Linked DNA regions of Arabidopsis thaliana. The protein of the gene in region 4 interacts with the protein of the main gene of each other region in a pairwise test. Each region holds a gene or a part of one and is shown on either strand. Other genes may lie near its edges.

Region 1 (8,654 bases), on a different chromosome or scaffold from region 4:
AATGATTGTTTTTTTGTTTCTTTTTGTTTGAAGAACTCATTGATTGGTTTTACTTTTACTGTTTTACATAAGACCAGAAACAAATAAAGTGATCATATGATTCAGTTAACAAATTGAATGTGAATTATCCACAATCTGTCCCCGGTCCAATCACAACGAGTTTTCATAACGTAGGTAAACCAAACCATTGCTAAATTTGTGACACATAAATTATAGCAAAATATCCACCTTGTTATCTAACATTACTTACATTAAATAAAACAGGTGTCTCATTGGCTAAAAAAAAAACAGGTGTCTCAATGATTAAACAATGAATATTTTCTACTCGAATTTGATTAAACAATATAATCAGCGTTTAGTCTGACCACATCCCATTATAGAAGAAGGTAAACTAGAAACCTTATCAATCCCAGACTCGAACACAATCCCCATTCCCATGAAAAAATGCGATTCAATGTGGCAGTGAAACGACCAAACGCCAGGATTATCCGCTCTAAAACGCAACGCCGTCCAGCCAAACGGTTGAACCGCAACCGTGTTTTTCTTTATCGGGTCGACCCGGTTATACCTTTTCGGATCCTCCGACTCATTAAACTTTCCTTCTCCGTACCCAAGCACCCAAAAATCATGACCGTGTAAATGCCACGGGTGCGTTTCACTGTTGTTTGCGTTCATTGTATTCGCGTTTTGTAAAATCACGTCCACGGTTGAATTGAATCTCAATCTGTAGATTCCATCGCTCGTCGTCGCGTTAGCGTTAAGGGGTTTCGCGAATATGTCGTAATTTCGAGAATCGTAGTTCTCCGGTGCCGTGAAACGCCAGTCAAACGCGTTTGTGAGGTTTTGCTTTAACGCGATTAGGTACGGCGTTTTAGGGTGGTGATAGGAAACGTTGTTGACCGACCAACGTCTGTATCCGTTGACTTCGTTTTGTGTATTCAGAAGCACAATGACTTTGTCAGAATTCTCCGGCAGCGCGTGAATGAATCCTCGACGCGCCTTGATTGCTAGGCTTTGTGCAAGACGGGAGCGCGTGTCGTTCCATTCCGGTACGATATTGGATGATTCCGACGTGGGAGGACGCCGTCGTGGGTGGTTCGGGTAGTAGTTGAGTACAGCGGTTGCCGGTGGAGTTGTCGCCGGACGGCTAACTATGCTTGAGGTGATCCAATAGTTTCGTCGAGGGTTTTGATCTGCCTTGAGAAGTACGGAATAAGTTTCGCCGGAGTATACAAAGAGATTCTTCACCGTGAATGGTTCTACGTAGTGTCCGTCTGCTTCAACAACTGTCAAATTATGTCCCTGTTGTTTAATTTAACCCATCTTCCATTAGAATACGAAAAAGAAAGAAACAGAGAAGACAATGAAAATGATTGGCTTGATTCTCAAGCTAAGTACCTCGATTTGGAAACTGAGAGCAGAGAGAGCCGTCAAGCTACCTATTCGAAGCCTGTATGTCTTTCCGGGAATCACCGTAAGAATAAAACGCGAACAATCAGCGTTTGAGACGTTACATACTCCAGACACTAAGCTTGGAGGAGTGGTTAGGTTGTTTGAGCAGTTGAATCTTCCTCTTCCTTGTATCATAAGCGACTGATAATATATCCAAATAAGAATCATCCATAAACATAAAATTTGATCGATCAAACAAGAATCTGACTTTTGAGTGATGGAAAAAAGAACTCACTTGTGGCTCACCGACCCACTTGAAGGGTATGGATGCTAAACCGGTGGCTTTCTCTGACATACTTTTGTGATACCAATCAGTTAACAAAAAGTTCCGGTCATAATCGTATGTAAACGGTTCGGGCTCTGTGGCCGGAGGAGAAACTTGAATCATTCCGATTAATCCAGACTCTCTCTGCATCCCATAGTGTGAATGATACATGTATGTACCAGGCTACAAACAAATTTCAAAACTTAACATAAAAACATAAAGAAAGATTGAAACTTTAATGTGAGTTTTATAACTCTTTACCCTATCAACGACAAATTGGTAAATGAAGACTTCTCCAGGAAGAATTGGACATTGAGTAACACCTTCTACTCCATCGAACCATGGAGTCCCAATCTGAAACATATATAAATCAATCTTTTTCAGTCATTCACCGAGTGCTTACGAGGATGTTTACGTACCTGTCGGATTCCATGCCAATGGACAGCGACATTTTCAGTCATGAAGCTATTCTTGAGCTCGACAACGATGGTGTCACCTTGTTGAGCTTTAATGGTGGGACCTGGAAACTTACCATTGATTGTGATTACTAGCTTCTCGAAACAATCCGGTGACTTGAACTCGTACTTCACTTCCCATTTGAATCTCCGGATCTTTCCCTGACAGAGGACGGAAGAAAAAAACAGGGCAATGAAACAGAGGACCATAAGATTGAAGACATGGACTGTGTCTGATGATCTCTTCGGTCTCATCATTTTTCCAATCGTGTCTCCAAGAATCAAAGAAGATAAGAAGCTGAGATTTCAATATATAGTTCGAGATTAATCAATTCATATATACATAACGATAGATCATTGCATGTCATGTGTTTACAGATAACTCATTTGTCTTTTGGAGAAAAACTGGAGAGAAAACGCGTTTCACTTTTCTACGATTTAGTGATAATTTCTAATAATAATACATCGACTTTTATTAGCAAAGTAAAATTGTAGTATATGATTCTGTGTACCTCATGTGTTTTGTAAGTCATAAAAGTCAAGTATGTTCGATGCTTCTACACTGCTTTTCCTTTTTCCGTAGTAAAACCACATTATATTTTGATGTTTGATTGTAAGATTTTTAAAGCCTAAACTATTGTTAAAACAAAATACTTAATCAAATCATTAAATGAATAATAGGTTTTACGGTTTGAACTAGCTAGTTAGTCACTCATTTCATTTTTTAAAAATCTCGAATTTAAATACCTACAATAGAAAATTGAATAATTTACATGTTCATACCCCTTATCCGAAAAAAATATGGGGTTAGGTCTGAAATTCTTTAGTTAATTAAAAAGACTTACTTATTGCAGTACATTCCACATAGACTTTTAATTTGGTCAAGTCTTAGCTCAGGGTCAATGGTAAGAATCGAGAAAAAATCTCTTGGACCAAGTCAGAGCTTAATTTTTTTTGGTCGTTATATTAAATATCTACGTAAAAATCAATGATGTAACATGTAACATGGGGAAAATAATATTATCAGTATGTAACAATATTATAACATGGTATTTATTACCATTACTCCACCATTTAAGTAACTCCTTTCGTTACACGAAGAAAAGTCATAAGACAAAAAATCAACATTGATCAATCGATCCGAGACAAGTTAATTGTAATTTTGGATTTAATTATTGTTTCATTTCTAGTGAATTAAAAAATAAAATATATGAAATCCAAAGTTTGGATTCTCCTCCAATTTTAGTATTTGATCTAATTATTTTTGATCTAATTATAAAAAAATCTTAATAAACCGCCTAAAATCATAATCATATCAAATGTTTTTTTTTAATAAAAAATAATCTAAATTTTTATGCCAAAAAGAAGAATTTAGCGTAATGGTATCTATTGGAAAGACGACCCAAATCCAAAGACCAAACCAGGTTACTTCCACAATGTTCACGGAGTCATCTCCAGCAATGGATCCGGATTTACCCGAATCCGAAACCCGACCCGAATTCAATCCCTCCTCCACTGATTCCACCGCCATGGCAGAGTCAACCGATGCAGGGGAACCGACGGCATTCGAATTAGCCTCATCCCAAGTCACATCCGTCGCCGATCTACCACCGGAACGATTCAATTCGCTCGACGAATTAACACACGATCTCGGCTCGCTCCACGAGCTTTCGACCCGTGGCTCATGGCAAGCGATCCTCGAGAAGATATCTCAAGCCAGAGCTCTCTTCCTCCTCACAAAGCCTCACGAGCATCTCACTTATCTCACTTACCAAGTTATGGCTCTCGCGAAGCTTCGTCGCTCCGATGAAGCTTCTCATGAGCTTAATTCCTTGCACGATTTCGACGGGACGCATTACAGGTACGAATCGTTCCCTGAGATTTACCCTAATCGGAGAGGATCTATGGTTCCTTTCTCTTTACGATGGCTCTACGCTTTGATCCCGACTAAGCTTGGTAATCGTCAGGAAGGGTTAGATCGTTTATATGTTTTGCTTGACTTTGTTCGAGATCGAATCAGAGAGAAAGAATCTCAGAGTTTAGAGAGTTCTGTGGAATTGTGGAAGAAAAGAGAGACATTTGTGATGAATTGCTTGCTAGGGTTTCATTTAGGTCACAAGGAATTTGGGGTGTCTTTGGATTTGATGAAGGAATTGATCAATCGTGATCCGTTAGACCCGGTTTTGATTTCGAAACTAGGGTCTGTTCAGATGCAGTTTGGTGATGTAGAAGGAGCTAAAACTACGTTTGATAGAGTTGAGAAGATGTTGAATGAAGGAAAGAGCAATGGTTTATTGAACGAGATACAGTTCAACAATCTTGTTGGTAGGAATAAGGCTTTGGTTTATGTTGTGGCAAAGGACTATGTTTCTGCTGTGAGAGAGTATGACAAATGCATTGAAAGGGATAACTCTGATATTATCGCTGTCAACAATAAGGCTCTTTGTTTGATGTACTTGAGAGATCTATCGGATGCGATTAAGGTGATGGAAAGTGCATTGGAGAGAGTGCCAACCGCGGCTTTGAACGAGAGCTTGGTGGTGAATTTGTGTAGTATGTATGAGTTGGCTTATGTTAATCATACTGATGTTAAGCGGACGTTAAACAATTGGATTGCACGTGTTGCTCCTGATGACTTTGATTCATCTTGTACCAGAGTTTGAGGTATTGTCTCTGTTCTTGTTTCATTCTTGAATTTTTCCCTTTTTTAGGTTTTGGCATGTCTAAGAACTGATTGGTGATGTTATGATGACTTCGATAAATTGTGAAGTCTTAAGAATATGAAACAATCTGGTTAGGTAGATAAGAGAGATGATATTCTCTAGCGCCCTAAACTTCTTGTTCTCTGTTTTGGTTTCATATAATTTCCATTGGAGGTATGCAAATTGATCATCTAGCATTCAAAATTGCAGGTTTTCATTCCAAACAAAGGTAATTAGTCAAAGAGTTTATGTCTTCAATGATGAAACAAATCTTGGTGGGTTTGGCCTCAGCTGGAGACTCTGTTGTTGCAATTACCGGCTTCAAATTCGTTGTAGTTTTCTGTTGTGTAAGCTAGCAAATGGTTTGTTGCCCCCAAACACTTGGTAACTTCCTGCATTCGTTTTCTCATATTCATCTTCTTATAACGTTTTTTTGCATTTGCCGTTAACCACTAATGAAGAATGTGTGTTCTTGCAACTCTTCCTATGCACAGAGATTTTGGGTAAATCAAATATTTAAAGCCATGTATTTTGAGTTGAATATTCCCGTTGAGAGGATCATATAAGGATCAATAATTTGGGATATTACCAGTTTTTGAGAGAAATTTTCCCTTTCAGCTTTCAGATTCCTTGTATATCTTTATGACAATATCAAAGGAATCAATTCTCGTAGAACATGAATCTACCAACGAATTCTTTCATATAACAACCCTTTTTTATTGGTTTGGAAAAAGCAAAGTAAAGATTCTTACTTTACCCTACAGAGCAAAATTTTCTCCGCGAAGCTAAATAATCCCCACAGTAACCCTCCAACACAAATCTACGCTTAACTTTTATCACAAGAAAACGCAAACCCCAAATCCACAATATATACACATACCTACTCACAGGATTAACAAACCGAACATAAACCAAAATCTGATATGGCGGTCCAAACATTTCCCAACGAAATCGTCTTCTTCGATCTAGAAACAAACGTACCAAACAAAGCAGGGCAACATTTTCACATACTAGAGTTTGGGGCGATCATCGTATGTCCAAAAAAACTCGAGGAGCTAGAGAGCTTCACAACGCTTATACAACCTAAAGACTTGTCGGTGGTCTCAATAAGGTCGTCTAGGTCAGATGGGATCACCAGGGCTAAGGTTACGAACGCACCAAGTTTTGAAGACGTGGCTGAGAAAATCCATGGTTTGTTGAACGGTAGGATTTGGGCAGGTCATAACATTAGAAGATTTGATTGCGTTAGGATCAAAGAAGCTTTCGCTGAGATCGGTAAAGCTGCGCCTGAACCCTCAGGGATCATTGATTCTTTGGGGTTATTAAGTGACAAGTTTGGCAAAAGAGCTGGTAACATGAAGGTACCATTATCCAAGATTCTTTGTAAGCATTAGAAATCTTAGGAATTTATATATTGAAGGTCATTGTGCACTATTTTGTAGATGGCAAGTTTGGCTGCCTATTTTGGTCTTGGAGTTCAAAAGCACAGGTACCTAATCATATATGTTTGTATCTATTACTGTTACGTTTTCCTTAAGGTGAAATAACGCACATATGTCATATAATTGCAGGAGTCTCGATGATGTTCGAATGAATTTAGAGGTCCTCAAGCATTGTGCAACAGTGCTTTTCTTGGTATGTCGTATACTCATAATTCTTTTTTTTCTTTCAAGATTTTTATTTCAAATATACAAATTAACTCATTTGTATATGTGTTTATATATCACCTAAATATACAGGAATCTACACTTCCCAATCATTTGGAAGGAAAATGGCACACTTCTTCTAAGATTATGACAAGAAGTCGAAGGAATTACCAAATAGCCCAAAGGGCAATGCCTTACTCGAAGGGTAGTCTCGAGAAGGTAATTGTGTTTTTTTCCCCTCTCTTCAAATCATAAAGAATTTAAATTGCCGTTAAATTTTGTCTTTCTTTTAAATGTTTTTGTTTAATACAGATGACACAAAATGTGAAGAATCTGTTAAGCAAAGCTCAAGGCAATCAAACTCTCCAAAGCTTGATCAATCATTCTCATTCTTTGCTTAGATGATTACTGCATCCCTCCTAAATGTTAATTTTTTTATAAATAGTTTGAAGAATGAATTTAATTGTATATAATATTTATACCTTCATTGACTCTATTACCAAATAATTCAATTGATATTGTTTATATTTTGTCACTAACAACTTTTTATCTGATTTTTACCTCAAACTTTTATGAATACATCACATTGGTATTGTTTGTCATCTTTAAATATATTTTCTTTTGTCGTATTATCTACGACTTATTAATATTTCAACGTAATAGTTTTTAATATTTTTGTCGTATTTATTCATTTCTATTTAGTTTTGGATAAGCTCTTGATCTTATTTTATAATTAAATATTTCAACGTAAAAGTTTGTCCAACTTATAATCAGTTGTTTTTAATTTAATTTTGGATAAGTTTCTGATCAAATATTTAATTCTTATTCTGTTTAAATTGGAAACAGTTTATCTGTTATTAATGTGAAACGAAACAATGGATAAACTGTTCCCAATTGACAAAAATAATTGATTACTTTATTAATGTGAAACGAAACAAAGTTTGTCAAAAACAAATATGAAACGAAACAAATAAAATATATCTACGTTATTGGGAAGAAGAAAAAAAAATATCTACATAGTTGCAATTAAATTATATATTTTAATACAACTGTTATAATTAAGACAAAATATATATGTATATATATATATTTACTGCTTAATATGTTTTGTTTGTCGTATTATCTATTATTCGTTTGTGAATTTTATTTTGGATAGTAGTCTTTTCATTTACTTAAAATTAAATAATTCGAAACAAAATAGTTGGACATAATCAAGCGTACGAGAAACTTCCAGCACATCAACATCACCCTTTATACAAAATGATTTTTGAGTGAAAAAAAATGAATGTGAAACAAAGAGAAGTATGTGGCGTGGAGGAACACAGACAAAGAGTTTACAAAGGGAAACAAATTATCAATACACAAACGTACGTATGGCCACAACCATGCCTATCAAACTTTTTCAAAGCCATTCCATTTCCAAGGTGTGTCCAAAAACCATTTTTTTTTTTTTTCATCCTCCATAATTAGTTTTTGGATTCAGTTTTTGAAACTTCTTATGTCGACTAGAGCAAGAGCACTATATTTTTATGTAGTTTTTCAAAAATTAGCATTGCTGCAATGAATAGGTGATACGAGAGCCAAGATCACACGTTTAACCTTTAACTTACAAATCATCATAATTAACAACACAAAGATAAAAAGAGAATGATATAAATTCAACAGATAATAAGAGATCTTTTTTAACATGCCACACCCAAATCTGAATATAATGCAACATCTTTAAAAGAAATTGTATTACAAATCAGTTCATATTGGTCCACTAATGAAATGATTCATTGGAAGACCGATGTCTAGAATAATTTTCAAGGCATGTGCAAAAAGTTGGATTTTCTTTCCATCTAAACCTTTCAAATGACTAATCATTATTGAAATAGAAATGAAAGAATCCCGGTTACAAAAGGAAATCAAATTACATATTTTAGGCATCATATAAACTAGTGTAACTTGGAAAAGCTATAACAAATAATTTAAATTTTTAACAAATGTTTCAATTTGTGTTAAAATATTCAAATTTGAAAGTAAAATGTAACTGATATTTTCCTTATGACACATTGCTCGACCATAATCAATTAAATAATATATTCAGAATAACGTCTTTCTAAGACATGAAAAACACGTGAAACAGAGCAGT
Region 2 (8,427 bases), on a different chromosome or scaffold from region 4:
CGTAAACCTAGTTCCGGAGGAAGCTTCAGATACAAGGTTAAAGGAAGGAATAAGAAAATCAGAGAAACGGATTAAGGAAATCACTTACCAGTAGAAGGAGAGAAACAGAGATCAAGATCAAAAGAGATGCGAAATTGTAGGTCATTCAAATAGAGAGATCGGAGAAATGAGAGTGAGATTCGGATCTGGAGAAGAAGTTTGAGAGACTGCTTCTTCGTCTTCTTCTTCGTTGGTCTATATTGGGATTCGAACGAACAAAAAGTAACAAAAGCGGCAGCGAAAGAGATATAATGAGAGAGTGAAGAGAGAAAGAGAAATAAAGCGTCAAAGTCGTTAATTAATTTTTCATTGAAATATTTGGTTTAGTTTTATGTGTCGGTGATCTTTTTTGTTTTCGTAACATGAAAATATGAATTATATGAAGAGGAATTGTATTTTCTTTTATTTATTTATATATATTGATGACTTTTTGTGTGTTTGAATATTGTCGCCTCTGGATCTACGCTTTTTTTCTGGTCTTGGTGAGAGTGGGTTACTGGGAAAATAAATGACTCGATTTGGTTCAGCTTACACATGTCTAATGGTTGACTTGTCCCGATTTTAATATATTTTCTAGAGCTAGTTAGTTAGGTATGTAACCAATGTTACGAAAAATTAATTGAGTATACTAGTGTTAGTTAGGATGTAAAAAACGTAAGAAAAGAAAATTAATTAAGTGGATATTTTAGAAACTTATGTCATTTGCAAAAGCTATTTAATTGGATGGGTGCTATACTCTAACTAACATGTTATTTGGCAAATTGTTTTGTAAATTTTATTATCATTTTCTTGTATCAAATTGTACATATTGTGTTATTTTCGTCGTCATGCTTCTATATATGATCCAAGTATCCTCAAGTTTTCGAAAATATATATTGCAAAACACACGAATAAATTCGTATGATAATTTGTGTTTTTTTTTAAAATTAATCTTATTAGCTGGTCCGATTAACACAGATAAAAAAGAAGTGCTTTAAAGTACATTTTTTTCAAAAGGGCCACTACACTGTTTGTTCTGAATTTGGACTATTTTTCGACCAGATCATATATTAGTGACTACCAGATAAGATGTTTAGGTATTTGGCTCAAACCCAGACATCTCACACAAATATAATTTTTTTTGTTTCGAGGGTGGACCAAACATGGATTAGTTCCTTTCAACCTTTCTTCAATTCTCAATCACCACTAGAACATGGGCTCTAAATTTTCTTTGATGTTGTTTAAGAAACTTTTGTACTAAATTTTCTTTGATGTTGTTTAAGAAACTTTTGTTGTTGTTAGACTTAGATTTTCTAAGGATATTTTACTCATTCTATCTTCTCTTTTAAAATTTTATGGACCTGCCATTTCTACAAAATAGTACTAAAATTGGTATTTTTTAGTTAATTCATCAAAAATTTGTCCATAATATGTTTTGGTATATTACCACTTGTTCACTAAAATTTGTCCATCAAAGCTAAACCCCCAAGAACTAGTCCATAAATGATATGTTTGGTAGATTTTAATGGCCACCTTTTGATTGACCACAACATATTATGGACAAGTTTTTTAGACGACTACCAAAACATACCTATAATTTCAGTTTAACTTTCTCAAAGTGGTAGATCCACAAGATTTTCTTTTAAGGGTAGAATGATGAAATTTTTATTTTTGTAAATTCCATGGAGTTTCACTCATCCACCCTTCATGAACATAATGGCTATAAACTTGTATTAAGATATATGATGTTCTTCCTTCGAAATTCATATTATTTCTTCTAAACTCATGTCTTTTGTTAAATGGAATCCAAGATGAAATATATATAGTTTAATATAACATAACAATATCATCTTTAATGTCGTTGTTGTTAGAGTTTGAATAGCCTTCAAAAAAATTCTGTGAACAGTATGTTATATACCAATTTAATTTCAAGTTGTGTTACATAGACTCACCACTACAAGTCATGGGTCCTTTCTAAATTTATGTCATTTAGTGTATACTGTAAACTAAAAAGTTCATATACTTAATCCATTTAAAATTATGGTCGTTTAGTGCAGTTCTGTTATTTTTGTAACTCACTAATTACTTTGTTTTAGTCGACCTCAAAACAAAACAATAGTTATTTGATTCGGCAATTGTGTTAAACAAATGGGTTAAAGCCTGTAAATAAATGGGCTCTCACATCTTGAGCTAGGTACAGGTATGGCAGAGATCGGACTGAAGATCTAACGGAGGAGAAAAAAATGTTTTTTAGGCACAACTAGTTTTGTTTGTGGTAAAAAAATTGCTAACTACTTAGAAGAACTGTTGCGAAAGATACTCAGCTACCTCACCATTTTTCTAAGATTAATACTTTACTGTATAATTACCTTAATTATAGTAGTATTTTATTAATTAATTGTATAATTTCTTAAATCTCTTTTTAATTTTGAAGGAAAAAGTAATCTTTTTAAACTTAAGTCAGAATAAGTAAATGATATAATAATTTCTGTTTTTATATAATAAAATACAGATTGTTTCTTTATAATTATCCATTTTACATTTTTTAAATTGTTTTACGTATGATATATAAGTATAGTTTCCTTGTAAATATTTGTTTACATTTTTAAATTGTTTAAAATTATAAATTTTTATAATTATGTTTTATATTTTTAAAATTAATAGAAAGATATTTTGGTTTATCAATGTCAAAATTATATGAGATCACTAAAGTTGACATGTGACACAATCTTATAAATTACTAAACTTTAAAAACCAAGCTTTATATAATAAAAAATTTATTGACTTGATAAAAAGAAGGAAGATTGTTGCCTAATTCTTTATCTCATATAGCTTTAGAGGTAAACAGGTTAATCACTTTGATTTCCTCTAAACAACAACTTCAGCTCAATATCACCTTTTAATCTTGCTTAAAACCTTACTGTCAAATATTCTTTTGATTTTTCGACTAACTTGATATATTGATGCTATCTAATTACTAACTTAAGCGTCAAATGTACACGATCAATAGTCAGAGCCGGTCGTATGCAACATTTACGATGATGAATAATGAAACAAAACACATACGAGTTCACATGGAAATTATAGTACTAAGGCAACAATTTGATTTGACCAAAAAAAAAAGACAACAATTTGACAACTTTCAGAACCAAACTCCTACTTATGTCGATAAACAACAATTGTTAACCAATAATGATCATTTAACGAATGTTGGAACCAACACTTAAAAGGGAAACGTTACATAGGTGCACTGCAGATTGGTTGGTGGACCAAAGCGGGTCAGACCGCATCACACGCTCTCACCGTCTCATTTGTCATTTCATGTCAGCTTTGCTCAAACGATAAATGGAAAAAAAAAAATAGTAACTAGATAACATAAATGTTGCTTAGGACCGGCCCTGACTTATGATCGTGTACATTTGACGCTTAAGTTAGTAATTAGATAACATCAATGTATCAAATTAGTCGAAAAATCAAAAGAGAATTTGACATTAAGGTTTTAAGCAAGATTAAAAGGTAATATTGAGTTCAAGTTGTTGTTTAGAGTAAATCAAAGTGATTGACCTGTTTTACCTTTTAAGATATATGAGATCAAGAATTTACCGGAGCAATAATACATATATTTTTATAAACAAAGAAAGAAAAGACTTTTTGGTAACAAGGACAAGAAACTGAATGATTTGCCAATTCCCTACCAAATTAAGACGCTACAAAGGAAGGCGTACACAGAGAGCATGAAAAGACACGAACAACCATTTGATTCTGCAAATCTTCTTTTGTCATGTCTTATCGAACTACAATAATATTCAATGTAACCCGCGGTATACCGCGGAACAATTTATTTTTTTAAGTTAATATATATAAAAATTTGCAAATTGTTTATATTTATAAAATATTTTTATTTTATAGTTTACAATTGTTATTAAGTAACGTCCTGCCAAACCCGTCCCGCAAAAAAAAAACTCATTTATTTTGTTAATGTTGATCTTATTTATGATATGTTTATAAATCATTCTCTAAATATTTTAATCGATGTGGGACGTTGAACTCACACATTTTTCGCCAATTGTTTAATATATGTTCATTTTTTAAATTTCGAATCACAAAATATGACTGAAAAAAATTTGAGATTTTTTGAAACTCTATATATTATATAATGATGTTAAGATTTTTTGATATATTAAACTTTTTATAAGTTTAAATATTAGTAATATTTTAAAAAGTTTAAAATATAAATAATAATATTTAAAAAATTAATAGTTTTTGTCTTTTAGGTAATGACATAATAAATCTAAAAGCAAGGATTTAGAAAATTTAAATCTTTAATTAAATATTTTCATTCCTATATAATTAATGCCAGTAGCATGAAATTGTAAATAAGTTCAAATACAGAATTTATTTATTTAAACAAAAAACGTTTAGTAAGAATAATATTTATTTAAACAAAAACTTTGTTTTAAAATATTGTTAACAAATACGTTTATGCTAATTTTAAAGGATTGATCTTAAGTTTGTTTGGATTAAATTTGCTTGATAATGTAATTGACAATTTAAATTAAGAATTTAAAGTAAAATGAATTATTTTGGAATTTTTTTTAATGCTAATGGTATGGAGTTGTAAATAAGTTCAACTTTACGATTTATTTGCTAAAATGGCTGGTAATTATGAAGAATTTACATCATAATCTTAAGTAGTATAAGACAACAAAAAAAAAAAAAAACTAAATACTATATTACAACTAATTCACATTCGGTCTTGCATTGGGATCCGTAAATAGCAAAGAAAAACCCTAAATTTAGTATCCTACAAAACATTAGTACTTGTTTAACTTGATCAATATATAGAGATAGAGGTTCTTTGAAATAATTGGATAAATGATTCAAGAATGTATTAAATATAAACTCTTGAATCACTTAGAGAAAACGTAATATTATATAATGTTTTATAAATACATGCGATAAATGAACCAACATAATCATAAGTTTGCCATCTTTCAATTTTGCAAATAAATAACAAAGCCATTAGTTTAGTGCTTTTACTAGTCTATAAGATAAAACTTATGACTTGTCTAACATGTTACATGTATATATTAAAAATATATACTAATCTATACTTATGTGAGGCCAAACAGAAAGAACTACAAATTTATTTAATACAACATAAGAATTCTTTAGGTTTGCCAAATAAAAGTTTAGGAAAGGGCATGTGACTTTAAAAGAACTCGTGCATGTTCGTCATTGATAAAAATTTGTAAACAAACGTAGTTCATTGAAACATCTTACTCATGACTTAATGTTAATTAGGGCTACTTGAAATCGCCGGCTGAGCCGGTGGTAGTGGCGGAGGAGGTCGCTTGCGCTTCTTTTTTTCATAGCTGATCCCACGTGCTTTAGCCTGCGAGTCACGTACTTCCCTTAGGTAGAGTCGAACGGCTCGTGCACCAAAAGGGTTCGTCTCTGGTGAACCACCGTTCTCTTCAAAAGCAGCTCTAAGACGGCCAATGAGTGCGTCCAGACTACCCCACGCTTGTCGGAGTGGACAGGCACATGGTGCTGGTGGGTTTGGGTGTCCGAAGAACGGACATAGGTGTGTGTGAACCTAGAGATACAAAGATCAAAGTGGCGTTTTAACTTCAGCATTTTCAATCTATATAGATATTATGTGCTTGTAATGTATGAAAAACATTTTTGAGTATATACAACAATAGTATATCATCATCACAGTAAGAATCATAGACAATATATTTTATTTATTTGCTAATAACGATGGAGTTAACTTTTTAAATAAACAAAATTCAGAATCATGTTGCAATACTATTTGTCGGTGATAGATGAAAATATATGAAAGATATAGAGCCCAAGTGAGATTATATTAATTAATGAAGATCAATAAGAATCCAATTCTCAACTATATATAACAAAAATACGTTTTAGCCTTTAGGTCAAAGAACCAAATTAGACATAGGGTTTCAATTCATTTGGTTCTATATCAATGGAAAATTATCAAAAAGAGTATTTTGATGTAAGAGATAGATAGACACATATGTAAGTGTATATGTTATACCTTAGTCTTGCCGAATTGGTCGAGGTACCTGAGGAATTCAAGAACATGAGCACCACTGCAACGGGAGAGAGAAAGTGGTGGACGGTGATTGCGTAGATACTGTCCGAAAGTGTTCCAATCTCTTCTCTTCTGATTCTCGTACCTGCTTAGCTGGTTAGTCCCCGAGCCTCCGGAGGACGAAGAGGAAGACGAAGAGGTCGTAGTGGTAGTGGCTGCGGCAGCGATCATAAGGTTTGTGTTATGTGACATGTTTGTTGTGCCCATAAAGCCGATGATATGATCCATAATATCAAGATCTGATTATCTAAGGATTTTTTGTTTGGTTTTTCGGTTATGGTGAAGATGAGAGGAGGCTTGTGAGTCTAAAGTTGATAAGAGAAGATGATGGAGAGGAAAAAAGAAGATGAGAGGCTATCGTAGTCATTGCTATAAAAGAGTGAATTGAATGGAGTCATATAAATATTCTTTTTTTGCTTTTCATTTATGTTTTCGCTTGACTAATAACAGTGGAACAAATAATAATGCAAGCTTGTTTTTACTATAGTCTATAGAGATTGAGTTAAACACTAAGCTAAATACTAAGGTTACGTATATCTCTTAAAATCATTATTGTTGTGTGTAAGACTTTGAATAGGTTTTTGGCGGATGAAGATTAAGGGGTATTTATTAATATTATGGGCGAATGAGGTTATTTGTTTATTTATACTTCTTATTTTGTTGACCGAAAACAGTTAAAATGTTATATGGTAACAAATATATATAAGATATAAAATCTTATTAATTAGTATAATTACTTTAGTTGTTAAAAATGTTTATTTGCATAGTGGCAAATCAATGATCTTTGACCTAAGTTTAGATGGAAATTATTCACCACTCATAGATTTTTTTTTAAATGAATCACCACTCCTAGATTACCTTTCTTTGGTTATTATCACTTAACACACTACAAAATTTGCAATGGACTTATTCTCATAACTTTTCTAGTCAACAGTCAACACCGCTTTCTTTAAAACAAATTTTGATTCCGCCATTTCCTTGATATTTTGGACCGGAGAAGAAGGAACCGACCTAGTTACATGGGTAGGAGCCATGGCCCTATTCTCTTACGTTTACGTAATCGATTTACAATCATTTTCTTTGAAATATGTTTTACAATTTCTTTTGCTTGAAACTACTATAGGATAAAACGGAAGACTTTTTATGTATGACCCTTAAAAACATATATTTGGAACTCATAAAAAGCTAGACTAACTTAAGCTGACGACTCATTTCCACACTCCTATAAAAATCTAGACAAATACAGTAATTTATCGTTAAATGAGAAAGATGGAAACAAATCTAGTGAGTGATCAACAATATAACTAAATTAGAGGAGAGACTAGTACAGTAGGGTTGGGCAGAGAGAATATAGTGACGATGGCTTTGGTTCTTGGTGTGAGTGGACAACACCTGGAGTGAAAAGACGATATTACCCCTGAAAGAAGTTAGCGGCAAGGGGTAACTTGTGGCAGAGGTACAAAACTGCATGGGGACAGAGAGGGAAAAGATGACCAGTGGAGTGTGTTTTTGAATGGTTACTTAATAAAGAAGGAGAAATGTTGAGTCAATCAATCAAATCTAACTGTTCCATTTCATGTCGTTGTGGACCATGTGAATTTTTTTCACTTGGTTTTCGTTTTTTGTTTTTTGTTTTTTGGACTTTTCGCTCTTATACAAAAACAAAATAGGCGTATAATTTCTCTTAAAATTGTGTTTATTTAGCAACAGAATAATTTTTTACAAAATAGATGTTTTTTTTTCCATCAGATCTTATTTATATATATTTTTAATGTTATTTGAAAAAAGAAAAATATAGCATATATATATATATTGACATTTAAATGTAGGCTATGTAGCATGAATATATATTTTAAAAGTATATATATATGTATATATTTTAAAATTATTGTTTTCTATACCTAAGTGTATGGAACAGTGGAAGTCTGGTAGATTGTACAAACCACCTTTTCAATTGACTTTTATAAAACCCATCGATTGTTATATATTCGATACAAATTGTAACAAAAAATCAAACCCAAATTTCAAATGGTTTGCTTCTTTTATATAATTATTGAGATTATAAAGTTAAGATCATTAGATTTTCCTTAACAAAAAAAAAAGATCACTTAATTGAATGGAAATCCGTTTATCGATCTCTCACATATGAGGGTTATTACTTATTAGTTATTAGACTTGTATTCTATAGTCTATACTTTGTTTGTTGTGTGTTTAATACTTGTAGTCTATAGTATTTGCCATTAATAGCAATGACATGAAGCTTCTCTTTATGCTACATTTGGTGGTGG
Region 3 (7,399 bases), on a different chromosome or scaffold from region 4:
ACACTGGCTCGGCCCACGGGTCGGATCTGTTGTGGCATTGTTCCGGGCTGCCCAGTCCAAGCTGAGAGTGATCCGTGTGTGTTAAGCGAAGGCTTGGCTCAGGCGGTTCTTGCAGTGGAGGGCAATGCGTGAGGCTGGTTTCACAGAGCAGCGATCACCTCCCGCTCTCAGCAGTGGACGGATCACAGCTCGACGCCACTCAGATTCACCATGGCCTGCTGGCTCGTTCCCAGCTGGACCACCAATTTTTTATTTTCTTTTTGACAATTGTATTTATGGATGGGCCTGAGAGTAATGAATATAGACTTCTATTCGGCGATTGGGCCCAAATTCTTTATCTCAATCTTCAACATTGGTGAGTTGTGCCAACTCAGACGGGGTTATTAATTTGTGTTATGCACATTACTTTAATCCAAAGAATACAGTTTTGCTAAACCCACCACATGCGTATGTTTTAGTTAGTGGTGATCCTGAGAAGAAACAGACGATATAAGAAGGTGAATTATTGAACAAAAGTTATACCATATTATAGTACAATGATGTTGACTTTGAATACAAATTGGTAACCGAATTACTTTGACTCACTTTCACCACTTTGTATTGTTTTTCCTTTCAAGTTTTTATAAAGAGAGATTTGGCATTTTAATAACATCCTCACCTAATAGATTTGGTTTACCGAAATGGGGAAGAAGGAAATAGTCTATTTGGTTTACCGAAATGGGGAAGAAGGAAATATTAAATTAGTGTGTCCTATAAGTCAATTCTCCTGTTCATTTCTAATCTATTATCTAATCCTTGCAATTTGCTGATAAAACAATAGTAATTACAAAAAGTCTTACCCCTTTTGAGTTTAAAGAAACCAAAAGTTTGGAATAAAATAACAAATATGGATATAAGAGGACTTATGTGCCTATGTGGTGTTGAGAATCCGATTAAAGATGTGAAAACAAACAAAAAATTAACATGTAATTCTCTGCCTTAATCATCAATAACAGTAATGGTTTTTACTTTTTTTTTTTTATTACAATTAATGTTTGAATAATCCGGTTGAATGATATCGTTAATCCGCTTACATTAATTTCCGATGATTGTTGTTACAAAGAAATAAATAGAAACTGGAAGCATCATCATAAAAATAAACAATAAATAGTGGACCGACCCCATGAAAAAATAATGAGGACAGAAATAAAAGGAAACCAAGTCTGAAACACAATGATTGATTAATCACTTATAAGGCCTAAACTCACTTTTCCTAGTTTTGCCCTTCTTTTAGCTCATCAACAGAGAGAGAGATAGATCCATGGAGGGTCTTCAAAGATCAACAATCTCTTTCCGCCGTCAGGGATCTTCCGGTATAGTGTTTGACGATCGTCTCATCGCCGAACTCAACAAATCGGGAAACAACGAGCAGAAAGACGAAAGTCAACGCGACGAACAACCTAAGCCTATGTCGGAAAGCTCTGAACAGGTCAAACCAATCGATGAGAAAGACAAGCTTAGACCGATTAAAACCGGTGGAGGAGCACCAGGAGGAATAGAGAGGAGTCGATCTAACGGTGGAGGAGCTCAACGACATCATAGAACAACCGGAAGAGTTTCTCCGGCAGTGGACCCGCCGTCTCCGAGAATTTCGTCATGCGGTTGTTGCTCTGCGTTTGGAAAGAATCCGCCGGGGAAGAAAGTTAATCCGAGGAAAAGGCCGCCGAAACGTAGATCGAGGTAGGCGTCAGGATTAATAATATTCATGAGGAAAAAATAGTATACACTGTCTTTCATCTTTCTTCTTCTTCTTTTTTGTATGTGTGTGTTCTTTGTTATAAAAAACTTTAAATTTGATTTTTCGATTTGATCAACAGACTCTGGTTATTTGTAAATTATCTGTCTTTCTTTGTTTTCGGACAATTTCCCATTTCTGTACAAAATCAAACTTTCCGATTTGGTGATTCTTCTTCCTTCTTGGCGAATTATCTGATTAAGTGATTTCAGTATAAAACATTTTGAGAAAAATCAAACAACGTTCAAGTCCCTTCCGATGGCTCACTGACTAATCCTCTAGGGTTTCGAATCTGGCAGAGAAGGCGGCGGATCGTGACCAAGAAAAGATAAATCAATCTGCTTTGATTGGAATTAGACGGCTCTGATGTGATGTTTTGATTTAATATTAATATTCGTATCTCAAATTATATACTTACTGGACCCGCCGAGGGGGAGGGCCGTTTCACCGCCGCATTAAACGGCTACGACACCGTGTCTTGTCCGGAGTAAGCATAACATCACATTACCATTTGTAGAATAGCTGTCTTTAATTGTACTAATATCTTCTGTCTTCAAGTTATAATATTTTATTAAATGAAAATCTTTCAATCCATTACCAAACCCGAAAAAAGAACCCTCTTTCCGACAAAGTTTCATCTTTGAAATTATTTGAGTCAAGCTCAATCTAGAAGAGTTTTAGTAAAGAATCAAAACAGAAGATTACAACTTTTGTTGAAGAATCTGTCATTGAGGTCCGAGCTTAGGGCAGCCCTCAGCTAAAGGCAAGTCCAAGTTGTCGACTGTCCTAAAAGTGCGTGGTACCATCTTATCAACGTAAAGATTACCATCCAAATGATCACACTCATGTTGCAAAATCCTAGCTTGCCAACCTGAAGCATTCACTTCAATCCTCTTTCCTTGACGATCGTAGCCCGTCACTACCACCTCAAGGTATCTCTCCACCGCAGCTCTGAATCCATCAACACTCAAGCATCCTTCAAAGAAAAGAGCTTTCTTGTTGCTTCTCTCCTTGAGAACCGGATTCACCATCACCTAACCAAAACCCCCAAACTTCAACATTTTTGTTCTAATCGAAAATTGTAACAACTCTTAAGCACTCTGATTCTATTATTTACCATGAGATCAAAATGACGTCTTTCTTGAGCAAGAATCTCTTCCTTTGGTGCGTAACTTATATACTCTTTTGTATCTTCCAATACAATAATCTGCATCATTCACCATGAAACACTAATTCAATCATTTGCTTCGAAATGGGTGAAACTAGGAAAAGCATTTATAGACTTACCCTTAAGGGAACACCAATTTGAGGAGCAGCGAGGCCAACTCCAGGAGCCAATCTCATAACTTTAATCATATCATCAATTATCTTCTGAATACGCTCCGACCCGATTTCTCCCGGGTCAACTTCTCGGGCCTTCTCGTGCAGAACCGGGTCACCAGATGCCACTATCTCCGGTAAATCCACTTTCTTTTTCTTCTCACCAAGACCCAATAACCAACCGGCTTTTGTCGACAAAGAGGAGGAAGAAGAAGTAGGCAAATTATACAGCTTACGGTTCAGTAAGTGTGAGGAACCGGGTCTTGAAACGGGGAATCGGATCGAGCGACATGTCACGGCGGCGGAAACCGGAAGTAGACGAAGTGAGACTCTGAAAAGGGTTTCCATGGCCGTCGCTTCGTCTCGGTGGAGTCCCATCGGTCGTCATTTCTTGAAATACGACTCCTTGGGCCTAAAATCGCTCTTTCAGCCTATTATCTTAATAGCCCAATAGAAATGAGATAGTTCTGCTCTTCCTTGGGCCTAATACATAATTGTTTTTCTTTTTGACAACACAGGGATTCTCTATAGAGATAATGTTGTCATAAAACATAATAATTTTGAGTTTGATTAGTTTCCAATATCTGTCCAATACGATTGTGATATTCCTTAGGTAATCTATTACCGTTGCACAAAAAGAAAAGATAATCTATTACATGCATTAACTACCAAAACACTCTTTAATCGTGTGATTATAAATATGCGTTAGTGATGTTATCCGGAGCAATCCACCACCACAGGCCAACTACGTAATAACAAAAATAAATTTAAAAACTGTAATAGATAAATCAAATTTGAATTACCAAATAACATCCTAAACTAGTGGGTTCAAAATCATTAATTTTTATGTTTGGTTATGGCCAATAACGGTTCATAATTAATCAAATTGTAACTCTACCATGTACGTTTGCTTTGAAGCTTCTTATTTTATTTTATTTTGATAATCGCATTATTCTTCGATCACGGCAAATGAATTTTGAACCAATATTCTCTATACATTTTAATAAAAAAAGTATGTGTATCAATATATCATACATGATTCAACGAATCTGCCGAAAACTAATTAGTTCGGTTTAGAGTTAGGTACTTAGGTTATAAGCTAACTTAAGCCACATAATCTCTTTTATTTTATTGTTCTTCTTGGTAAAGAAGAAGCGGTACCGGTTACCGGAGCGGCGACAATGGGAATAGTGGGCGGTGAGTTAACGAGTTCAATCTCCAATGCTTAAGCCGTAATTCGTGTGGTATATAAAAACAACAAAGCCAATTGTTTTGGTTAGTGACGAATGGTCAAATTATATATAACTTTCTAGAATCTTGCATCCTTGTTTCTCCAAATTAACAAATTCAAATTTAATATGTAGTTAGGCAACCTCTTTTACATTTCTTTCAAGCAGAATCTTAGATTTGATGCTATGTTATTCCAATAGTTAATAGAGGATTAACGTATATTTTATTTTTTCTTAAAAAAGAAATATATAAATTATAAAGTAGAGAGTAGAGACGGTGCTTTGTAGATCATTCCTCTCTGACTATGGATGGGTCTCGTATATAACGTTTTTTGTTATTGTTAATAAGTCGCGTGTATAACTTGAGATTCAAGATTCCATTTCTTTTTATTCCTTCAACATTCAACTATGGTTTACGTAAAGAGAAATAAGTCTTCTCCTTTCCTATATGTCTAACTACAGTTTTTTATTAAAAAAAAATAAAAAAAAAAATGAAAATCCCCTATAAATACATAGGTCTCGAGCATCTCCAAAATATAACAATTCACCCTCTCTCCAAAATCAATTAAGGAAACACAAGCACTGTTACACACACATCTCTACCATGAACAACAACAAGAACATGAAGATGATGATGAGTTCCGCAAAAGAAAGTGGTAATGGTACCACTAATATTGTTATTAAAGAGACGATGAATAAGAAGGTGGAAAGGAAGGCATCGATGGACGTGGACAAGAGCGCAGAAGCTTTCATCACAAAGTTCAGAAATCAGCTTCTTCTCCAGCGTCTTGAATCCATTGAAAACATGCTCTCCAAAGGCCCTTAACACTACTTATCAATATACACATGTATTATTTCTTTCTTGTATATATAGTACTGTTATATCTCATGGGATTCCAACGTATGGAAGAATGATTTATGGCTTTCATATATTACTTTAGATCTTCTTTCTTTTAGATGTGGAACTCTATTTCTTGGTATTTATATTACAATATAAGAAATGTAAGGTGTGCCTTAGCAATACAATCTGTATCAACTTTTTCTATTTGGATCAAATTTTTGCAATAGACTTTCTCAATTGAAATTGTGACTTCTAAACAAAAGGGGAATGCGAGAGCCAAACATGTATTGGATGCCTCTACGAACTAGCTTGGAATCTCTTTACAAGCCTTTTTGTTGTTAGACCGTTCAATGTAGATATGAGATTCGTAACATATACGTTAACTTCGAGGGTCTAGAATGCATTTCTTGAGAGAGTGAATAGTCTAGTCTCTTTAGTTGCATTGCACAAAAGAGTTAAATCGAACCAAATACATTAACCAATATACATATATGTAAAACATGATTTCCCTTGATTATATTATATAAGCTTGTGGAGCAAAGAGAATGGTCATTTCCTCGAAGGGAATCACATTCGCTGATTCACATCGGTCTCTTATTGTATATTACACCCAAAACCAAGCACACCAATACACAAACACACACAATATAAAGAAGAAGTGAGCTGTTTATAATTAAGGGTAGACCACTTGGTGGATCTGAGTCTGCGGTTGTGGCTGCACCATCTGGTGGAGTTTGACTCTTGAGCAGGACCGAGCCATTTCTCCTACGAGGGGGACTACGGGGAGGCTATCGCAGTTGCAAATCTCGATCATGAAGCCATCAGGGTCATGGAAGAAGAGCTGGTCCACTTGGATCCCTCCTTCTTCTACTAATGCCCTTACATAATCTATCCCCATTTCCTCCAGCTTCTTCTCCACTACTCCCATACTCTCACACTGCATTTCCATAATTCACAACTCTTATTATTCAGACCAAAATTTCTACTATAATCTTATGTATGCTCAAAAAACAGAGTAACAACTATATACTTGGGATCTCCTCTTGTTAATTGTCTCACAAATTCTTCACACACATACCAAACACAAGATGTTTTGATGCTTAAAACCAAGTGGTTTGTTGTATAATCCTAACTAACATTTCTATTACACAACTATAAAAGTTGAGGATGTTTTGATTCATAAAACAAAATTGTTTGTTGTCAATAATGGAACAATGAATACTTCTGACTCACAAAACTTGACCTCTGAAAACCCCACCTTCTATTGTCCTTTTTTTCTCTCCCTTCTTAACTTATCTCTTGTCATTTTCTCTAGGATATTTTTGTTCTCTCATAAATTCAGTTTCTTTCATTCAATAGTTATCATAAGCCAATTCAAACTATACTAACAAATTCTATCCTAAGGGTCATTTACTTAGGAAACTAACAAATTTTGGATTTTCTTCCTTAATAATAAATAATTCTGAGATTGTGTTTTGCACAAAAGGTTCATAAATATAGAAAAATATCCTAAGACAACATCTAAATACAGAGCTTGTATGAACGTAGATTATGGTTTATGGCTTTAAAAAGCACAAAAGTTTTATTGAAAAAAACAAAAAACAGGGCAAAACTGAGAATTAACACACACGAAAAATTACCTGGAAAGAGATGTGATTATCCTTGGGATTAATCGCAGTTTTCTTGGGAAGTTTCTCTGGTTCTGGGGCACACAGGAGGTGTATTCCAATCCCGTGACCAAACAACCTAGACCCCCCCAAAAAAAAGAACATGTAAAAAAACTAAACTCATTGGTACTTTTTTTGTCCCTCAAAATTCAGATATATTTTAAATAAAATGATGATAAATTACCAAGCGCCTTCAAAATTTAAGGATTCAGGTCTTCGTATCGGGATGAACCCTAACACCTTTTGGTAAAAATTCATAGATTCGTCGACGGATCGGCACAAGACAGAGACATGGTTCAGTGACGTGAGATGCAAAGGGTTTCCTGCGTCTTCCTTCATTTTCCAGAGACAAAGATCCTAAAGAAACAATTATATTAAAAAAAAGTAACGCCGCCTTTGATTAACAATCCAAAAACAATGACGTCCACGTTAATTCAAGCGAGAATGATTGTAATAGTTGCAGGACGTTATTACATGTATGATCTTTATATATAGTTTTGTGTTGTGTAGAAAGAAGGTTAATGGGATAACCACGGAACTTATCTGATGATCAATTACACATGGCTAT
Region 4 (8,603 bases):
TCCGGCAATTATTGAGATTGATTTGTTCTTGGAGAACTTACGATAAGCATTGCGATGAAAGATCCAATCAGAGCCGCCACAGTAGCTGCAATTAACGTTGTTACATTAACGAGTTCGGTCATTGTTTTATACAAAGGGGTTTCTTGTGCAAGAAGTTAGGGTAACTAGAAATTGATAGAGAGAGATAGTTTACCGAAGAATGGAACTGTGAGTGCAACGACCAAAGTGGAGAGAACTAATATGGTTCTAAAGAGCATAGAGACACCTTTGGATCTCATCTTTCTTGATGAAGACGGTATGAGTTCTTCTAGGCTTAGCATTACTGGAGTGATCGTTAAAGCGTATTTCGTCATTGGTGTTACGACCTAATCATACAAATGAGATAGGAATTGAGAGAAAATTATTATGAACAGAATGTGAAGAAGGTCTGAGATTCTTGATTTGGAAGGTTATCTAACCGCTGTCCAGACTGCGATTTTAGATGAGGTGAAATGTGGTGGCATGTTCAGTGTAAATTGGGATTGAATCGCATCACCAAACATCGTGAATCCACAAACCGCTACCGCAATGTAAAATAGAGTGCAAAACGCAAAACTACATAACGCAACAAACAATTATTTTATGAAATGAGAAGTGATGAAAATTAGACCTAGAGGTTTCTTGCGCTATAAGCAAAAGTTGTTTTACCTGATGAGAAGCACCGTAGGAAACTTGGAAGGTTCTTTCATGGATGAGTAAATGTTGGGGAAAACAGAGTGACTCCCGAAACCGAACCCGTAAATTCCGATTGCGACAGGTATGTTAGTTATATCAAGAGCTTGTCCGCTTATGTGAAATCCAACCCCGTCTACTGATCCAGCCCAAAAGAGGCAAAGCGCAAGCAAGATTGAGGAGATGACACCTCCGGCTAAGGAAACAAAACATTTCTTAAATTTAATTAAAGAGTTCAAATCTCAGAGATTGTTGTGTGTGCCAATTACGAGATGAACCTGAGAGATAGGACAATAAGCTGAGGTCTTTGAGCCAGACAGTAGGAAGAACAATAAGAGTCGTGGTAATGGCGAAAACTTGAGTAGAATCTAAAGAAAATCCGTTGATGTATAAGGAGGTATTTGGGAACATTCTTGACAAATTATCACTCATCATGATTATGTATTCCACACAAGATGCCTACAGAAAAAAATTCAAAGTTAGGACCTCAATTTCTTCAATCATGATATGAAACATGAAAGAGAGTTTGGTACTTACGTATAACTCTACGTAGAGAAGTATCTGAAATGTAATTCCAAACCCAAGTTAAGTTAGGATCACAATTCACACACAAACAAAGTTAAGATTGATTATTTGAAAAATAATCTTACAGAGACGAGGATGCGTCCAGTGGTTCCGAATGCAGCTTGACCGATGTCCGGGTAAGTGTGGATTCCAGGGGAGTTCTCGAGACATCTCTTGAGGAGAATGCCGGTGTAGAAAGTGATAATGCCAAAGGAGAAGAGTATGAAAAGCCCTAACCATCCTCCTTCTTTAACTGCGTAAGGCATTGTAAGTAAAGCTACTCCACATAGAACGTTAATTCCTGCAAAAAGAGAATGTTAAGAATCTCAATCTAAATAGAAAAGATAATCGTAAACTCAGTACTCTCGCACTAATGCTATACTAAACGTAAACTCAGTTCATCAATATATATCAGATTTGGTTTCAGTTTGATTATTTGACTAATCTTGGAAAACAGAGAAAACCTAACCAAAACTCAGATTGAACATTCCTAATGCAATTATTACCGTTGAGAACGGATTGAGAGAATGTGCAACTGCGGTTTTCTTGGGGAGTTAAAAGATCCCCTGGGACTGATAGCTGGAGATGAGAAGCAAGAAATGATTTGATGGAGGACACAACAGAGCTTTGGATCTCGTCTTTGTCTATGAGAAGTTGCTGTTTGCTTGGTGAAGAAGTAAACGAACCGAAAACAGAGCTTTGTCGTCTCTGGCGAAATGAAGAGACAAAACTTGTACTAGTCGGAGGTGTAACTCCAGTCAACAAATCCATAGATTGTCTGAAAATATCCCCAAGAACACCAAAATTATTCTCTAAAGAATAATTTCTTCAGATCTCTTACAAAAACAGAGCACTTAAAAAGAAAATGATTTACCGATAACTTCGAGGCCACGGAACGGGAACGTCTTCGGATCTGTTACGAGATAAAGGAGTTGAGGGAACGGAGCTCTCTGTTTGGCTTTCTTCATCTTCCTCATCGAACGTGTGATACAAATCTTCCCTTTCTTGATCGAATGTCTCGTTTTGCTTCATCTACTTTGTTTGTATTCTTCTACTGTGCTCTGTTTCAAAAACCAACAAAAGGTCTAAAAAGAAGAAGAAGAAGATTGAGAAGAAGCAACTAGGGGACGCAACGAAACGTGTTCTGTTTTCAAGTTCTAAATTATTGTCACGTTTCTTTATATTCTTTAATTAGCAGTCTCCTTACCTATGATGATGTCTCCCTGAATTTGTTTTTCCCCATAATTTAAATGTATTAATGAACAAATTCACGATTTTCCCATTATTCCACCAATAAGATAAATTTAATAATGTCCCATTATCCTATCACTACTAAATCTAAGAAACTTCAAGAACAATTCAAAGAATCTTCTACTCTGACGCGTAAGGTTCATTTACAAAAAATTTAGTTTTTATACAATAATACTATTTGCTTGAAAAAATATAAAAACGTTTCTGGCGAGGTTATTTATAAAACACAGAAATAGACACGTAATGAAGATTAGTTGATATGCATGTGATGTAAGAAGCCAATGACAGTTGGGTCATTAATTGGCCATTAAATGTTCATCTCTAATTACTTATGCAGCAGTTAAATTTATTTTTTGTTCGTTTTATTTTGGTAGCTGAGCACCTTCGTCTATAACTGCTTAAAAACTTACAATAATACTCAGACAATTTCTTACAGAACAAGAAAGCAAAGAAACTTACACATAAAAAAGCAATTGTATATATATATATATATATATATATCCACCCATCTCCAAGCAACCATTGATCATTCCAAGCTATCTACTTTTGCAGAGGTATATTGTAGAGAAGAAGAGGAATGAGAAATGGAGCTTTTTACATATATATGAAGAAGACTTATGATTTATCAATCTGGTTAAGCTTTCCGAGTCCATTGCAGTTAGCACAAACGATCTGAGGAAGATCCTTCCGTGCGGCGTTGGCTCTCAGAGTCACTCCTCCTTTCCTCACAAATCCTGCTCCGTCACATTCCGGACACCTAAACCACACACATTTCAGAGCTTAAACTCACAATGTACAATCTCTGATTCAGTTTACTACATCGGCTAAGAGTTTATGTACGTTTTCAAAATCCATAACAGAGGATTTAGTCCGGTTAAGATAATTCGAATGTTGAACCGGACAATAAACTATGATAATCTGCAATTGATCAGTCAAAATTTGGTTTAACGAGCATTAAAACCGGTTTAAGTCACAAGGTAAAAAGATGAGAGTGGTTTACGTGTCTTTGCGTTTGAAGAGGATCGGGAATGCAGTTCCGACGAGTGCAACGGCGATGGCTCCGCCGATTAAGTAGATTGTTCCGTCAGAAGAGACATCACCGACGGCGGCGACAACTACGGAGGAAGAAGATCTCTTGTTTTTGGGAAGAATCACATTGTTCGGTGATGGTGATCCCCACGAAGAAGAATGTTTCAGGAAGTTGGTTGATGACACGAACGTCGTCTGCAATGCCGGTGCGATCGTCATAATTTAGGGTTTTAAGTGACTGATTTCGATTTGGGGGAAGTAATAAGAAGAAGTGATTTGATTTTTATGGAAAGGTTTTGAATTTGGATTTGCTTCGTGACGTGTCACTCTCTCGAAGTGGATAACGTTTTCACTTGGGATTTTTGGGGTTCTTCAGTTTTCTTTTGTGTGTGGATAAGGTAGGCCCCTTCAAGATATTTCGAGTTAACAATTGGGCCTGTTAAGCCCATTATTAAGTTAGCGTGAACATAAGGCCCAAACTATTTGTCATTGTCTCTGACTCTCTGACCTTCGCAGAGTCTTTCTCTTCTTCCGTTGCTTCAATGGCGAAAGACGGACCTAACTGGGACGGTCTGCTTAAGTGGAGTCTCTCTCACTCCGATGGTACTCGACCTACTTGCCAATTAAGGTACGAAGTTTCTTTGTAATTTCAGGTTTTGTTGGTCACTTAGTGGAGCTTATGTTGTTTGTTGGGTTGTTTTAGAAATTTGCGTGGTTCTGCGTCAGTTTCTTATGAGGAATGAATCATGTAGTGGAATTTGACTATTTGATTTGGTATTGTTTGGTAGATGGTTTTTGATGATATGAAATTGTTTGGTTAGACAGTGAGGAGGATCGAAAATGGTTTGCAGAAGCTATGCAATCACAAACGGTAGATGTAGTCAAGCGGTTGAAGGAGATTACACAGGTATTGCAGACACCTCAACAAGTTTTGGAGGCTCATGAAGTGACCCCTCAAGATATTGAAGGTTCAATATGGAGTTCACTATTGTTTTCTTAGCTATTTTCTCTCTTGTTGGTTACTAAGATTTTGAGTTATGATGATTTGGTAGGTTTGTTGGATGAGTTGCAGGAACATGTTGAATCGATTGATATGGCTAATGGTGAGTCTTTTCATACTTTGACCTTGTAACTTTGTTCTATATCTGTCTTTTGATTGCTGGGCTTAACTTGTACTTCTTTGAATGTATGGGCAGATCTTCATTCCGTTGGAGGCTTGGTACCTCTTCTTGGCTACCTCAAAAACTCCAATGCTAATATCCGGGCTAAGTCTGCAGATGTTGTAAGCACAATAGTTGAGAACAATCCTCGGAGTCAAGAATCAGTTATGGAAGCCAATGGTTTAGAGTCCTTGCTTTTAAGGTTTACTTCAGACACCGATATGCATTCTCGAACACAGGCTCTCGGTGCAATATCATGTAAGCTGCTCTGAGTTCTATCCTATATACTTAGATGGTCGAATGCCTTTTTCAAAAACAAAAATGTCTATCGTAAATCTGATGAATGTATTGTGGTAAATTTGGGGTACAGCTTTGATTCGCAATAATAAACCTGGGATCACAGGTTTCCGGATTGCAAATGGTTACTCTGGTTTAAAAGATGCTTTGGAAACTGATAGTGTGAGATTTCAAAGGTAATAATACTCTTCACTTTTCTTCATGCTTGGATTCCTCTGAACTTTGAGAGAACACAAAGTTGTAACCTTTGTTCTGCTGTTGTCTAACTTTCAAAACTTTTGTCATTACTTTCTCATTCTTCAGGAAAGCTTTAAACTTGTTGCATTATCTTCTACAAGAGAATGACTCAGACTCCGATATTGCTATAGAATTCGGGCTTCACCATTTGATGATGCACCTCGTGTCTAGCTTCGATGCTGATGTAAGAGAAGCTGCTCTTCGAGGATTGCTTGAGCTCGTGAAAGCTAGAAAAGACTGTAGTACTTGTGGTTCTAGCATAGTGAAAGGCGATGAGAGACTCAGACAGATTCTAAAAGATCGGATCAAAGCAATCAGCCGGGTCAAAGCAATGAGCTTGTTTATGTCACAAGAAGATCTATCAGCCGCTAAAGAGGAGAGGCAGCTCTTAGATTCACTATGGACCACAATCTTCAACGAACCTTCTTCTCTTTAGAGACAAAGATACAAAGAGACAAAACCGTCTGTGCTTCCTTATATCATGAGTAAGCACTAAAACCGTCTTTTATGTCTTTGGACCCACCAGCTAAAGCTTGTGTCTTTAGAACACTAGTTAAAAGGATGGTAACCACTGTATAATGACCAAATTTTGATTCTATTTTGAGTTCAAATTTTCTCAGTTTCTCATTCAATGACCTAAAAACAGACCGTACAAGTACCAAATCAAGCTACTGCATGATAAACATAACATAAAAATCAGAAGCCTCTCACTTTGGAGGACAGAAAGTGATAACATAACGAGAAGCTCTACACTTATTCAAACTACTAGAATCATCAAACGCATAACTATAAGCTTTAGGACAAATCGCTTTAAACAGATTCGCGAACAGAGTCGGCTTACACGCCTGAGGATTCGCATATTCACCGGTGCAACAATACTTAGCCGATTGCATCGCCAAGCAAGCACTTTTACAACCAACCACTTTCCCATCTCTCTTAACTTCCAAAGCTGATGGACAACAAATGTTCAAATTCACTTCACAAGCCGCAACGCCACATCCAACTCCACCGCCGATTGGTTTCATCGACACCGGAAGATTGAAACCGTCGACGAGACTTACGTCGTAGAAATGAAGCGGAGAGGAAGATGAGCCTAATGTCATTTCTACTACGGTTGCTGGTGGTACACCGCCGGTTCCTTGGCAGTTGATAGAGCCGTCGTTGCAGTCTCCGGTTTGGCATGAGCCTTTACCGTTTTGGTTAAAGGTGCAGCCTTGTCTACCCCAGATTCGACCGGACCATTTATCCGGTACGTCTATGATGGTTTCTTCGCCGCTTCCCATGTGGAATCCGCCGTTTCTTGGTGTGATTTGGCCTCCGCCGCCGAGAATTCCCGGCCAAATGCTCTCCTGGCAGTTATTCACTATTATAAGCTGAGCTCCATCTGCAAAAGAACAAAGTCACTATTATTGAGAGGAATCAAAACGAGAAACAAAACCCATTTCATAAATTATCGAGAAGGAGAAGAGATATCGTACCAGTGAAGGCTGAGATAGTGAGAAAGAGAAGGAATAGAGTTGCAGATTTCGTCATTGTTGTTGATGTTGTTGTTGTTGTGTGGGGATATATCACTTCTAAAGTTTGCTTTTGTGTGTGTTGTGGTTGTTTTCAAGAGAATATTAATAAAGAATATGTTGAGGACGTCGTGGTCGAAGGAAGAAGTGGAAACTTGGGTTGCAAGACTAATATTGGTGTGGTGAAGTGGATTGTTGTATAGGGAACTGCCAAGTGCTAACGTTTTATAAACTGAGACTTTCATGGGATTAGTGGGAAAGAGAAAGATATGGAGGCTTGATCGTGAGCCTTCTTCTATGAAGAATGGGTTAAAGTTGGATTTAAAGAAAAAGAGAAAGATTCATATGTCTCTCAAACGTTTATTATTGGATAAAGATTAACACTCATAGATTTCTTCATCATTGCATTTCTTTAAGGCAAATTTGTTTATACTTTACAATCCATAACTAATTTTCAGACCTAGCTAAAATCTCATTGTCTAACATTTTAATTATTCTTAGAAATTGATTTGATATTTTTGAATATAGTTTTATAATTTTTGTAATAATGTCGTAATGTTACCACCTGAATTCACTGTTTTGAGTCTATATGAAAATTGTAATAAGGAAAATGTTAGAGTGCTTCACTAGAGTTTTGAACTTTTGATTTTATATGTCAGTTTGTTTTTCTTTCAAAAATTATGTTATATGTTATCTATGCGTATATAAACTTCATCACTTGCTAGTAGCCTAGCATGTCCCAACATTTCTTACCTTTGCTATGACCTTTTTCACTTTGTACATCAAATCAGCAGAGAGCATATATGCATTACTTCAATGAGAGGATTTGCTTTGTTTTTAAACAAAGGCTATATTTACACAAAACAAATCATTCTCTTTTTAATGTTCTTATAATATTTTGTTGGTTTTTGAAAGGTAATAATAGAGATCGAAGCCAAGAATGTCACTAGAGTCTATAGACTTGCTTTTAATAACAGGTGGGGAGGTTGAAGGTTTTGGTGGGTAGGTATCTTGCAAGACATACATATAACATATTGATGAGTACTACTTGCTCAATATTACTTCAAGCTGAAGCAAAATAACATATGAAACCAAATTGAGATAACACTTCAAATCATATTGCAAATGTAAAGAGTGAATTTGCACAATGATTTACAAAGTGAACATATACAACAATGGATTATAAGTTCTTTAAAAACCACAACAACAAAAAAAAAAAAAAAAAAAAAAAAAAAATTCTAGAGGAACTTTTGGGTCAATTTTTGGTTTATTTGGTTATCACAAAACCAAGCCAATTATACCGATTTTTCCAAACCAAACTCAAATTATACCGATTGAAATTGGCCACTCTTAGTGACGACGGCGAGGAAGAGCTCCGCCGACGTTTACTGAGTAAAACCTTTACTTCTGAGCAAGACAAGAAAAAAGAAGATATTGAGCGATTATGATTCGCGCAGCTGCCAAATTCTCCAGAGAAGCAGCGGCAACGATTCGTGGCCGCACGATCTCCGTTAGAGGAAACCTTATTCGATACTCGACGCCATTGAGATTGATTCACGGTGAAATCAGCGTTCCAAACGCGAATCATGTTGCTATTCAGATGGTTAATTACGCTCTTTCTCACGCTAGGTCACAAAAATCAGGTCTTTCTCTATAGTTATAAGGATTTTAGGTGTTTAAACTCTAAGTCTCTGACTGAATTCGAAATGGGTCTCTGTGAATTCTGAATTTTTGCAGATGAATCTTATGCTCAAGGGATGCTAGTGCTTGAGCAGTGTCTTGGGAATCAACCTAACGATGATCAGGTTTCTCATGATTCTAAAGCAACAGTCTTGCTTGC

The links.
Region 1: the proteins of Fes1C (region 4) and AT4G39820 interact in a two-hybrid assay, tested with the Arabidopsis thaliana proteins (one large-scale study listed by BioGRID).
Region 2: the proteins of Fes1C (region 4) and LSH4 interact in a two-hybrid assay, tested with the Arabidopsis thaliana proteins (one large-scale study listed by BioGRID).
Region 3: the proteins of Fes1C (region 4) and AT1G15385 interact in a two-hybrid assay, tested with the Arabidopsis thaliana proteins (one large-scale study listed by BioGRID).

The regions. Positions count from the first base shown.
Region 1 is NC_003075.7:18,472,879-18,481,532, reverse strand, and holds AT4G39820 (Tetratricopeptide repeat (TPR)-like superfamily protein), read left to right. Parts: upstream 1-3,472; 5' UTR 3,473-3,551; coding exon 3,552-4,835; 3' UTR 4,836-4,836; intron 4,837-5,084; 3' UTR 5,085-5,575; downstream 5,576-8,654. Other genes in the region: AT4G39830 (Cupredoxin superfamily protein), read right to left, coding at 349-1,302, 1,399-1,593, 1,688-1,900, 1,979-2,071, 2,137-2,430; AT4G39810 (Polynucleotidyl transferase, ribonuclease H-like superfamily protein), read left to right, coding at 5,798-6,235, 6,317-6,363, 6,446-6,509, 6,614-6,739, 6,833-6,925.
Region 2 is NC_003074.8:8,324,898-8,333,324, reverse strand, and holds LSH4 (LIGHT-DEPENDENT SHORT HYPOCOTYLS-like protein (DUF640)), read right to left. Parts: upstream 6,698-8,427; 5' UTR 6,368-6,697; coding exon 6,083-6,367; intron 5,618-6,082; coding exon 5,315-5,617; 3' UTR 4,768-5,314; downstream 1-4,767. UniProt on the Arabidopsis thaliana protein: Probable transcription regulator that acts as a developmental regulator by promoting cell growth in response to light. May suppress organ differentiation in the boundary region.
Region 3 is NC_003070.9:5,290,726-5,298,124, reverse strand, and holds AT1G15385 (cotton fiber protein), read left to right. Parts: upstream 1-4,786; 5' UTR 4,787-4,927; coding exon 4,928-5,149; 3' UTR 5,150-5,413; downstream 5,414-7,399. Other genes in the region: AT1G15400 (uncharacterized protein), read left to right, coding at 1,301-1,719, 2,079-2,106; PDF1A (peptide deformylase 1A), read right to left, coding at 2,500-2,808, 2,892-2,981, 3,062-3,472; GLYI4 (Lactoylglutathione lyase / glyoxalase I family protein), read right to left, coding at 5,838-6,101, 6,805-6,910, 7,016-7,170.
Region 4 is NC_003076.8:421,563-430,165, reverse strand, and holds Fes1C (Fes1C), read left to right. Parts: upstream 1-3,787; 5' UTR 3,788-3,953; intron 3,954-4,049; exon of another isoform or gene 4,050-4,071; 5' UTR 4,072-4,097; coding exon 4,098-4,183; intron 4,184-4,376; exon of another isoform or gene 4,377-4,380; coding exon 4,381-4,523; intron 4,524-4,607; coding exon 4,608-4,658; intron 4,659-4,751; coding exon 4,752-4,973; intron 4,974-5,085; coding exon 5,086-5,188; intron 5,189-5,315; coding exon 5,316-5,685; downstream 5,686-8,603. Other genes in the region: AT5G02170 (Transmembrane amino acid transporter family protein), read right to left, coding at 42-85, 194-365, 459-594, 688-907, 990-1,170, 1,249-1,272, 1,362-1,576, 1,782-2,053 and 1 more; AT5G02160 (uncharacterized protein), read right to left, coding at 3,142-3,283, 3,527-3,774; AT5G02140 (Pathogenesis-related thaumatin superfamily protein), read right to left, coding at 5,729-5,885, 5,961-6,633, 6,728-6,782; NDP1 (Tetratricopeptide repeat (TPR)-like superfamily protein), read left to right, coding at 8,208-8,406, 8,501-8,603.